Cricetulus griseus: one gene and its partner. The protein of the gene in region 1 purifies or fractionates together with the protein of each later gene. This does not show direct contact. Links are inferred from orthologs where the notes say so. Each region holds a gene or a part of one and is shown in the gene's direction. Other genes may lie near its edges.

The links.
Region 2: the proteins of Setdb1 (region 1) and Atf7ip purify together in Homo sapiens (affinity purification with mass spectrometry; 6 studies listed by BioGRID and IntAct, counting the BioPlex papers as one, with this or other methods). This does not show direct contact. The link is inferred for Cricetulus griseus from reciprocal best matches to the Homo sapiens genes SETDB1 and ATF7IP.

The regions. Positions count from the first base shown.
Region 1 is NW_023276806.1:61,136,858-61,141,215, forward strand, and holds the start of Setdb1 (histone-lysine N-methyltransferase SETDB1), read left to right. Parts: upstream 1-1,401; 5' UTR 1,402-1,566; intron 1,567-1,718; exon of another isoform or gene 1,719-1,843; intron 1,844-2,149; 5' UTR 2,150-2,260; intron 2,261-2,419; 5' UTR 2,420-2,428; coding exon 2,429-2,688; intron 2,689-4,358. UniProt on the Homo sapiens protein: Histone methyltransferase that specifically trimethylates 'Lys-9' of histone H3. H3 'Lys-9' trimethylation represents a specific tag for epigenetic transcriptional repression by recruiting HP1 (CBX1, CBX3 and/or CBX5) proteins to methylated histones.
Region 2 is NC_048601.1:12,458,732-12,463,013, reverse strand, and holds the start of Atf7ip (activating transcription factor 7-interacting protein 1), read left to right. Parts: upstream 1-1,441; 5' UTR 1,442-1,729; coding exon 1,730-1,746; intron 1,747-4,282. UniProt on the Homo sapiens protein: Recruiter that couples transcriptional factors to general transcription apparatus and thereby modulates transcription regulation and chromatin formation. Can both act as an activator or a repressor depending on the context.

The DNA.
Region 1 (4,358 bases):
AGGTTCCCTGTCCTCACTCGTGCCCGCCATGGTGGAGGGATGGAAGACCCATGTTAATACAGTTAACTCATTAAATAATAAAAGACTCTTTGCTATGCGTTGGAATAGGTCTCTTGGTGATTTGGAGGTTCAGAATTTGGGTAAAACCGTTTCCAGATAAATAAATTTTATATAGATATCTCAAAGGTCATGGTGGCTGAGAAAAAAAACGGAAGTAGGTAGATTTTTGTCTTGTCCTCATAGCAAGTTCCAGGCCAAACAAGATTACATACTAAGACCCTATGTAAAAAACCACTACCACTAAGCTCTTGTTTCTATCTGCATATCAGCTTCCTTTGGCCTTCCAAGCAGGGCTATGTGAGGGCAGTGGAAGGAGAGAACAGTTTATATGAATTTGGCAGTTTATCTATACAACTGTTCTTACCATTCCCTGGGCCTAAAAGGGGGTGGGGTTTCCTGGTCAGATCTGTGCTGGAAGTGCTTGCATTCAAAGATGAATAGGCAGAAAGAATCGAGAAACAAAGCAAGCGAAACACAAGATGAAACCCCACCAAAAATGGGGGTGGGGGTGGGGGGTAGAAATCTGGAGATATTTGAACCAAACCCTGAGATAGAGCCAAAGCTCTGAGTAAAACCAGAGGAGGTACCACAAGAGGAGAAAAAAAAAAATCAAAAGAGACAAAAGCAACTTTTAAGGAAAGGCTGATTCAATATCTTCAGGAACTTAAAGAGGACACACAGACATTTCAGCAATGACACTATGTCGAGAGAAGCAGATGAAACACGCATAAGGACAATGAGAAAAATACATGCAGACAAAATAATTAACACACAAAATAAAATTTAAAACGAGAAAAATAAAACAAGAGTCCCATTGGCTTTTTTGTTTATGTTTTTTCGAGACCTTTGGAGGCTGTCCTGGCACTCGCTCTGGAGACCAGGCTGGCCTCGAACTCACAGAGATCCGCCTGCCTCTGCCTTCCGAGTGCTGGGATTGAAAGCGTGCGCCCCCGACAAGAGTCCATTTGTATATCACACACATAAACGTTAAAGTCGTAAAGGACCAAAGACCGCGCAAATCTCAGTGGTGGAATTTTGATTTTTTGTCTATTTGTATTTTTCATACTTCCTGAAATGAACACGCATTAACTTTGCTAAAAATGACAGCTTTATGACTAAAAAATATTTTCAAAACTATTTTCGGCCGCTAGTTGGGGAGGAGCTTCCGTAAAACATTCCTGAGCCAGCCGGCGTTGCCCAAACAGTTTCTTTTCCGGAAATGCGCTACTTGACGCATGCGTAAACTTCTTAGGTTCCCACAGTCCTTATCCCGCCGCGCTGGGGAGTAAATTTGACCCTTTCGGGCTACCGTTGAGCGGGCCGGAAGGACGCTCGATTTTGCTTCCGGGCCTTTTGCTTTTCCCTCTTGATCCCTCACGCGCCTTCCCCACCCCCGCTCTCTCGCTCTCTCGTGGGTTTCTGTGTTTGTGGGCGAGGCCGAGCCCTGGAGTCGGAATCTGGGGTCCTCGTGGTTGGGAGCCGCAGTGGTGAGGAGGGCTGGCTGAGGTAGGCTGAGGCGGGGACCCCGTGGTTTTCTCGTGGGAGGCGGCAGCTGTGTGTAGACACCTGGCGGAGAGCGGAGCCGGGCGGGGGCGGGGCCGAGCGGGGCGGCGGGGCCGAGGCCGCGGCGGGGGCGGAGGCGGGGCGGCAGCGGGTGGGCGTGAGGCCGGGCGCCCGGGAGGCCCGGGAGCCGCTGCGCTCCTTCCCTTGGTGGCCGAGCCCCGAGCGCGTGATTCGAGTGTAGAGGTTGTGTGGCCTCTGCTGCAAGCTGTGCTCTGTGCAGGTAGCAAAGACCTCGTGTTTCCTCCTTTCCTTCCCTCCTGCTGGACGCAGACTCCGGGCCGGGTGCAGCCGAGGACCCCTTCCCCTGTGCAGCAACCCCCTGCCTGGTCGTAGGAGTTACTTCCCACGGGGAAGCAAAGTAACGTAACGGGAGAAAAGGTGTCAAAACCCAAGATGGAAGTAGTTAGTTACGGCCCAGCTGTGTCCAGGTGGACGTGGTACTTCAGCTTAGACACAGCGCAGAGACGGATTCGTCTCCTTGATAAACAGGGAGCACGTTAGCTCACAGAAATACCTTCCTTTGTAGACAAGCACGCTTCAGTTTTGCGAATCATTGTTTTGGGCAGCTCTCTACTGCAGACCGGTGTTCTGCAAGCCCTCCAAGCTCTTCCTTAGGCCCGTGGGTCTGTGTGAGAAGGTGAGCTTCCCCAGAAAAATCTCCGGGTCGCATTCTGGTGAAGGAGGAGAGAGAACAGACTGTGAACAAGAGCTTGCAGGATAGGAGTGCGTTTTATGGTGAGGCTGAAATTGCCGGCTTTTTGATGTCAGAGTCATCGTGGTTCCTTGTTCTGCACAGGGCAAAAGCATGTCCTCCCTCCCTGGGTGCGTTAGTTTGGATGCAGCAACAGCTGCCCCTGACTCTGAAGACATGACTGAGCTGCAGCAGGCAGTGGTTGAAGAGCTGGGTATCTCTATGGAGGAACTTCGCCAGTTCATTGATGAAGAGCTGGAAAAGATGGACTGTATACAGCAGCGCAAGAAGCAGCTAGCAGAGTTGGAGACGTGGGTGCTGCAGAAGGAGTCTGAGGTGGCTTATGTTGACCAGCTCCTTGATGATGCATCCAGGTAAGGATTCATGGGAGCAAAAGTACCGTCCGTTTGCATGCTTGTTAGGGTGATTGTTCATAGCAGAGTTCAGCCATGTAGGGCCTAACGCTTCCTTGGGTTTTTGTTGTTGTTGTTGTTGTTTTTGTTTTTTTGAGACAGGCTTTCTCTGTGTAGCTCTGTAGATCAGGCTGGCCTCGAACTCACCATAGATCCGCCCACCTCTGCCTCCCTAGGGCTGGGACTAAAGGTGTGTCATCACAGCCCTGCCTTCCTCAGGGTTTACAGTGCAGAGTTGCAGCATACACTTTTCATCCGAGTGTGAGGCAGCTGGTACACGGTCAGCAGTATGGAGGTTAAAGGTTTGAATTCCTTTGTCTTCCTCCTTCTTTCTTAAGATGACCAGGAAGTGAAGATAGTAGAGTTGATGTTTTCTTTTTTTTCCCTTTCTTTCTTTGGTTTGGTTTCTTTTTTTTCCCCCCCAACGTGGGGGTGTGGTGGGGGCTGTTTTAAGATAGGGTTTGTCTGTGTAACAGTAAGATCAGGCTGGCTTCGAACTCACAGAGATCTGCCTGTCTCTGTCCCCTGAGTGCTTGGAATGAAAGGCACTTAGCACTACCACCCAGCTCTGTTTTTCATTTTGTTGTGAGACAGAATCTCAATGTGTAACTTTAGCTGGCCTGAAACTTGCGGAGATCTCCAGAGTGAGTGCTGCAGTTACAGCACCCCAGCTTTGGTTTGGTTGGTTTTTTAGGGTCTCACCACTAGCAGAGTGTAGCCTTGAATTTGCTTGGTCATGATCTCCACCCTCCTGATGTTGCTCTTTTACATCCGCAGTGTTGGGATTATAGGTGTGGGCCAGCATGCCCGAGTTACGGGTTGTGTTTGGGATTGCACCAAGGGTTAAGCAATCATTCTGCCAGTTGAGCTAAATCGTCAACCTCTCAACTTGCTGTCTTTAACTGTGAAACATTAACAAATTCCAATCAGATTGCCACAGCAACTTCAGTCAACCAAGTAGATGATGTTAGTATTGCACTCAGGTGAATTTTGGATTGTTGATAAACTAGTTGAAAACTGTTGCAACTACTTACTTGTTTTGGTTTTTGGTTTTGAGGGAAAGTTTCTCTATGTGTCTTTGGCTGTCCTGGAACTCTTTCTGTAGTTCAGGTTGGCCTCAGCAGAGGATCACTCGGAAAGATCCTCCTGCTTCTGCCTCTTGAGTACTAGGAGTAAAGGCATACATCACCATTGTCCAGCTTATGTATTTTCCTTTTTTTTTTTCCCCCTTGGATGTAGTGTCTCTTTACATGACTCTGGCTGCCTTGGAATTCACTATGTAGACTGACGGCCTGGAACTCATAGAGATCCCCCTGCCTTTGCCCCTGAAATTAAAGGTGAAGGCATGTGCCATCCTTCCTGTATAAATTAAGCCACTATTTAAAACTGAAAGGGGTAAACTAAACTAAAAGGCTTCTAATAATTTAAAAATAAAGGGACCAGACCCTCACTCAGCTCCCTGCTTTAGCAGCCATGACCGGGTACAGAAAAGACAGGTAGGCCTCTAACACAAAGAAACTCTAGATCCTCTGGCCTCCTGGAGCGTCGTGCCAAAACTAAAGACAAAGAAACTCCAGAACCCCCTCCCCCGCCCCAACTTTGTAGGTTCTTGGATCCTGGGAACTGTTTGG
Region 2 (4,282 bases), on another chromosome or scaffold:
GAGATAGCATCTAAAATTTGCCAGATATCTATATTTTTGTTATTTGTAATGCCTCATCCCATTAAACTTCCATCCTAGTTTTATAGTAATCATATCTATTCCAAACATTCCCAGTTTACTAACTCCTGCTTTTACTGAATCGACAAAGCTGCCCTCAGCCATAGTTCTAAGAGCTACTATGGTTTGGCTAGGTGTGGTGGCACAAACACCCCAAATCCTAGCATTCAAGGGGTGGATGCAGGAGGGTTCCAAGTTTGAGGGCAGCTTGAGTATACAGAGAACTCAGGGTTTCGTTACAATGATGAAACCCTGATAAAACAACGGGGGTTGTTTTATGCAGGAGCGGTGTGGCGGGAGGCTTCCTTAGCATGCTCAAGGCCCAAGCCTGGTCCCCAGACTGTGATCCGATACGGCTTGGATCACGTGTCATGTGTCTTGTTTCCTGCACATATGGCAGTTTTCAAAGATATTATCCAGTCCATCTCATGGAAAAGTGAATAAAGGCCTCTTTCAAGGCCAAGTATTAGACACATTTTATGGAATGTTTCAAATATGTACATAAAATGAGACAATGATCGTCTTTTAGTTGGTTTTTGCCACCTCTTTTAAAAAGTTGTAAGAAATGCCAACATTTCGATAGACATGACACAGGGTAATTAAACTTGAGGACTGAATACCAAAGAAGATGGAAGAAACTGGGCTCCATAGCTGATGGCAAAGGAAGCAGAAGAGGTCCTTTGTGTTGCCTCCCTTTCGCCTGTTCTGCGCCCGCCCGCCTGTGTCTGTGCCAGGCCTGTTTTGCTGGCAGTGTTCTCAGATTTGGCTAAGTGTCGGTCCCTCTTCCAGACTGGCCTGGACCCTTTTGTCCTCCCTACTTTTCCTTCCCAGAGAGTCTGCATCCTCCCTGACTTTTTCCTGTGCCACCTGAGAGTGTGTCTGTCACATCTGGACCACAAAGAGAAGAAATGTTTGATTTTATGAGAAATTACTAAATTAAGCTTTGTTGCCACCTTAGACTTTATTGTTAAAATTAGAAAATGTGGTTGTAAACTTGGATTGAGCACTTCTGAAGATTAGATTCTGTGGGGAAATTTTTAATTAGCTTTTTAAGATTAAAATTAACTTGATCTAATGAATATAAGATTTAAACAAATTTGACACTCTTCTTTTGATGGATGTATTCTATTAAAGGTAAAGAAGAAAAAGTAAAAAAAAAAAAAAAGGGTCTTGAGCTGGGTTTGAGGGGTTTGACTTTTTTCCTCCCCTTTTTTTCTGGACTGAAATGGAGGCTTTCTTTCAGGCGAATTCCCTAGTGTTTGCTCTGTGTGATCTGGCTCTATCTCTGTAACTGCTAAAATGTGGCATGGATTTCAAGTTGTTTGGGATCGGAATGTGCCCAAAGTCTGTTGCAAGTCCGGATTCACAGGCATTTTGTTGTAAAACTGGCTTGTTGCCTTCCGTTTTCTTTTTCTGTGTGCTAAGTAGCTGCATTGTTTGTTGCAGTATATGCATTAGCTATCTGTGTTCAGTTTCCTGCAGGCTGACAAAGTGGGCGGGGCTTTCTTTGATACATGGCTGAGTTTTCACTGTGTGAGTTCTTGAGTGCACGTTGCAGCCATCTTAATTACACTTTTGTGCAACTGAGACTGTGCAGCTGTCTCAAAATGGCTGCTAACCCAATCTCTGAGGCTGCTTAGGCAGCAGATCTGCCAGTGAAGAGACTTGTCACATGCATCAGGATCTGAGGTAAGAACCAGTAAGCTTTTATCTTTAAACATTACAATTAGAAAACATTTGAACATAACCAGCTTTGTATAGGAAAGAGAATTTGCCTGTGAAGAAGTTGCAACGTTTTCTAAGAGCAGTAAACCTATATTAGAGAAACAGTATATTAGGATGGTGAGGTCAAAGGTTAAATTCCTGTGATTTCTCACCATTTTGTTGTCATTGCCAGAACATTTGATCACCACAGTAGTGCTTTTCAAACTCGAGTGACTTATTACTCCTTGTGTATTGGATAGTTAATTCATTAGATATTTGTAGAAATTCAAACAATGTATTAATTGAGCATTTTTTAAAAGAAATTATAAATTAGCCTTCTTTGGAAAGAGGAGTTTCTGCTTTTTAAAATGAGTTATTATTTGGTAGCTTTGTAAAAAGTACTAATTTGCTATATAAATCAGAAAAATAGTGTCTTTTTTATTTTTTATTATATGCTTCAGTGCTTTCTCATGTACTGCTTTTTATTTTATAATTAATATATATTTATAATATCTCACTTTTTCTTTATTTTTTGTTTGAATTGACATTTGAATCCAGATTTTAAATTTTAGAATAATTTTACATATAGACCTCAGACCTTTTTATTTTTAAAATCTAATGTAGACTGATAACTAGAGAGCTGGAATAAATACTGTTTTAATTAACTAAGTGACATTATTATGTATATTTAAAACTTAACATTCAAAGGGATTATAAATTTAAAGGTTTTTTAGCATTGTAAAACAGAAATATTTGCTGAACTAGTAGAGTATACAGTTTCATGGTTACCTAGCAAGTTGGGAGAATAAATTTTTCTTCCTTCCTTTTTCTTTCTTTAGACATGATCTCAGTGTGGTCCAGTGTTGGCTCTAGTTTGCTGAGTAGCCTAGGTTGCCTTGGGCCCCTTACCTCCAGCCTCTGTCTCTCCAGGACTGGGATCACATGCATACATGCTGCCATGGATTCCCAAAAGAGGGAATGGAATTTAATCACATAATTTGGGGAGAACAGTTACATTTTAAGCGGTGCTTCAGTTATAGTAATTACTGAATTGTTTTCTGAATGGTACATTATACTCCTGTAATTGTGTCAATAGAATATTTTAAACATATTCTTGACTAATACAATAGAGAACAGTTCTGAACATTCTGTATAGAGCTTTTATTTTCCATTTTTGTAAGGTTTTACTCTTTTTACCCCTCCTTCTCTGTTTTTACTTTTTTAAAAACAGATCTGGCCTTGACTTTGCAATCCTCTTGCTTCAGCCTCCCAGAATTATAGGCAAGTACTACCAAGTCTGGTTCTAAAAGCAACTTTTAAAACAGCAAATAATTAGATTTTTGCAAATTCTTAAATTCTTAGGGAAGGCCCCAACATATCCAACATATTAAAAGCTTACACATGAAATTTTATTTTGTACTTATTTTATAGTATGGATTTATAAAATTTACTTGTTATAATTGTATTTAATAAATGAGGTATTATAACAAAACTTCGAAATGAGAGCACATATGACGTTTAGAAGTTTATATTATTGTGCAGATCTAGTTCACTTAGCCTCTAATGCACTATGGAATTCTGTTTGAAATTTATCCTTGAATGCATCTACTTTTTTCTTTCTTTTTTTGTTTTCTTAAAGATGTAGACTAAAATATTAGATCTGCTACTTAATAGTTGAAAATTGCTACCTTGTCATAAACATAAATTTATACTTGCTCTTGGTTTTATATATATATATAAAGTGTGTGTATCTATATACATAGATATATACATACAAGTTTAATATAAATTTTTTGTAATTTAATCACAAGTAAAATGATGACTCATCATAATTTGAATGATAATTCATATAATCACCTGGAAATGTTCATTTGCCTCAAAAACAGAAACAGGAAAACTTGCTTTGTGTGAACGTGTGAGCAAGTCTGCTTTCCTTTCTGCTCAGTAGCATGACAGGAGAGGGAACTACTCCAGCCTCAGTCACTCCTTTTCATGTCTGAGTAGTTCAGTGTCTTGGTGGAAGAATGGAAGGGGATTATGGGATTTAAATATGTAGATCTGAAGATAGCCACTTGGTCTTTAATGTGGAGGAAAATGGATTAGGTTGACATTAGTGAACAGTTTATGTTGGCATTCACGTTTTTTGCCTTTTGTTGCTGAGTGTAGAGTTTACACTCATACTTACCAGTTATGCATGGGGAAATCTAAACTCTGGTTACTTAGGCTATCATTGCTAACTTTACATTGCTGTTTTCCATTTCTATAAGCATAGACTAGATCTTGGATAATTTTGTGTTGGTTGCAGCTTTAAAATTTCTGTGATGAATTACTTATTTATTACTAGTACTACTACTATTATTATTATTAATTTTTGGCTTTTTGAGACAGGGTTTCTCTGTCTGTAGCTGTGGCCCTCTGTGTGTAGTCCTGACTTTCCTGGAACTTGCTTTGTAGACCAGGCTAGCCTTGCACTTACAGAGCCTCCCAAGTGCTGGGACTGAAGGCATGCACCACCACTGCC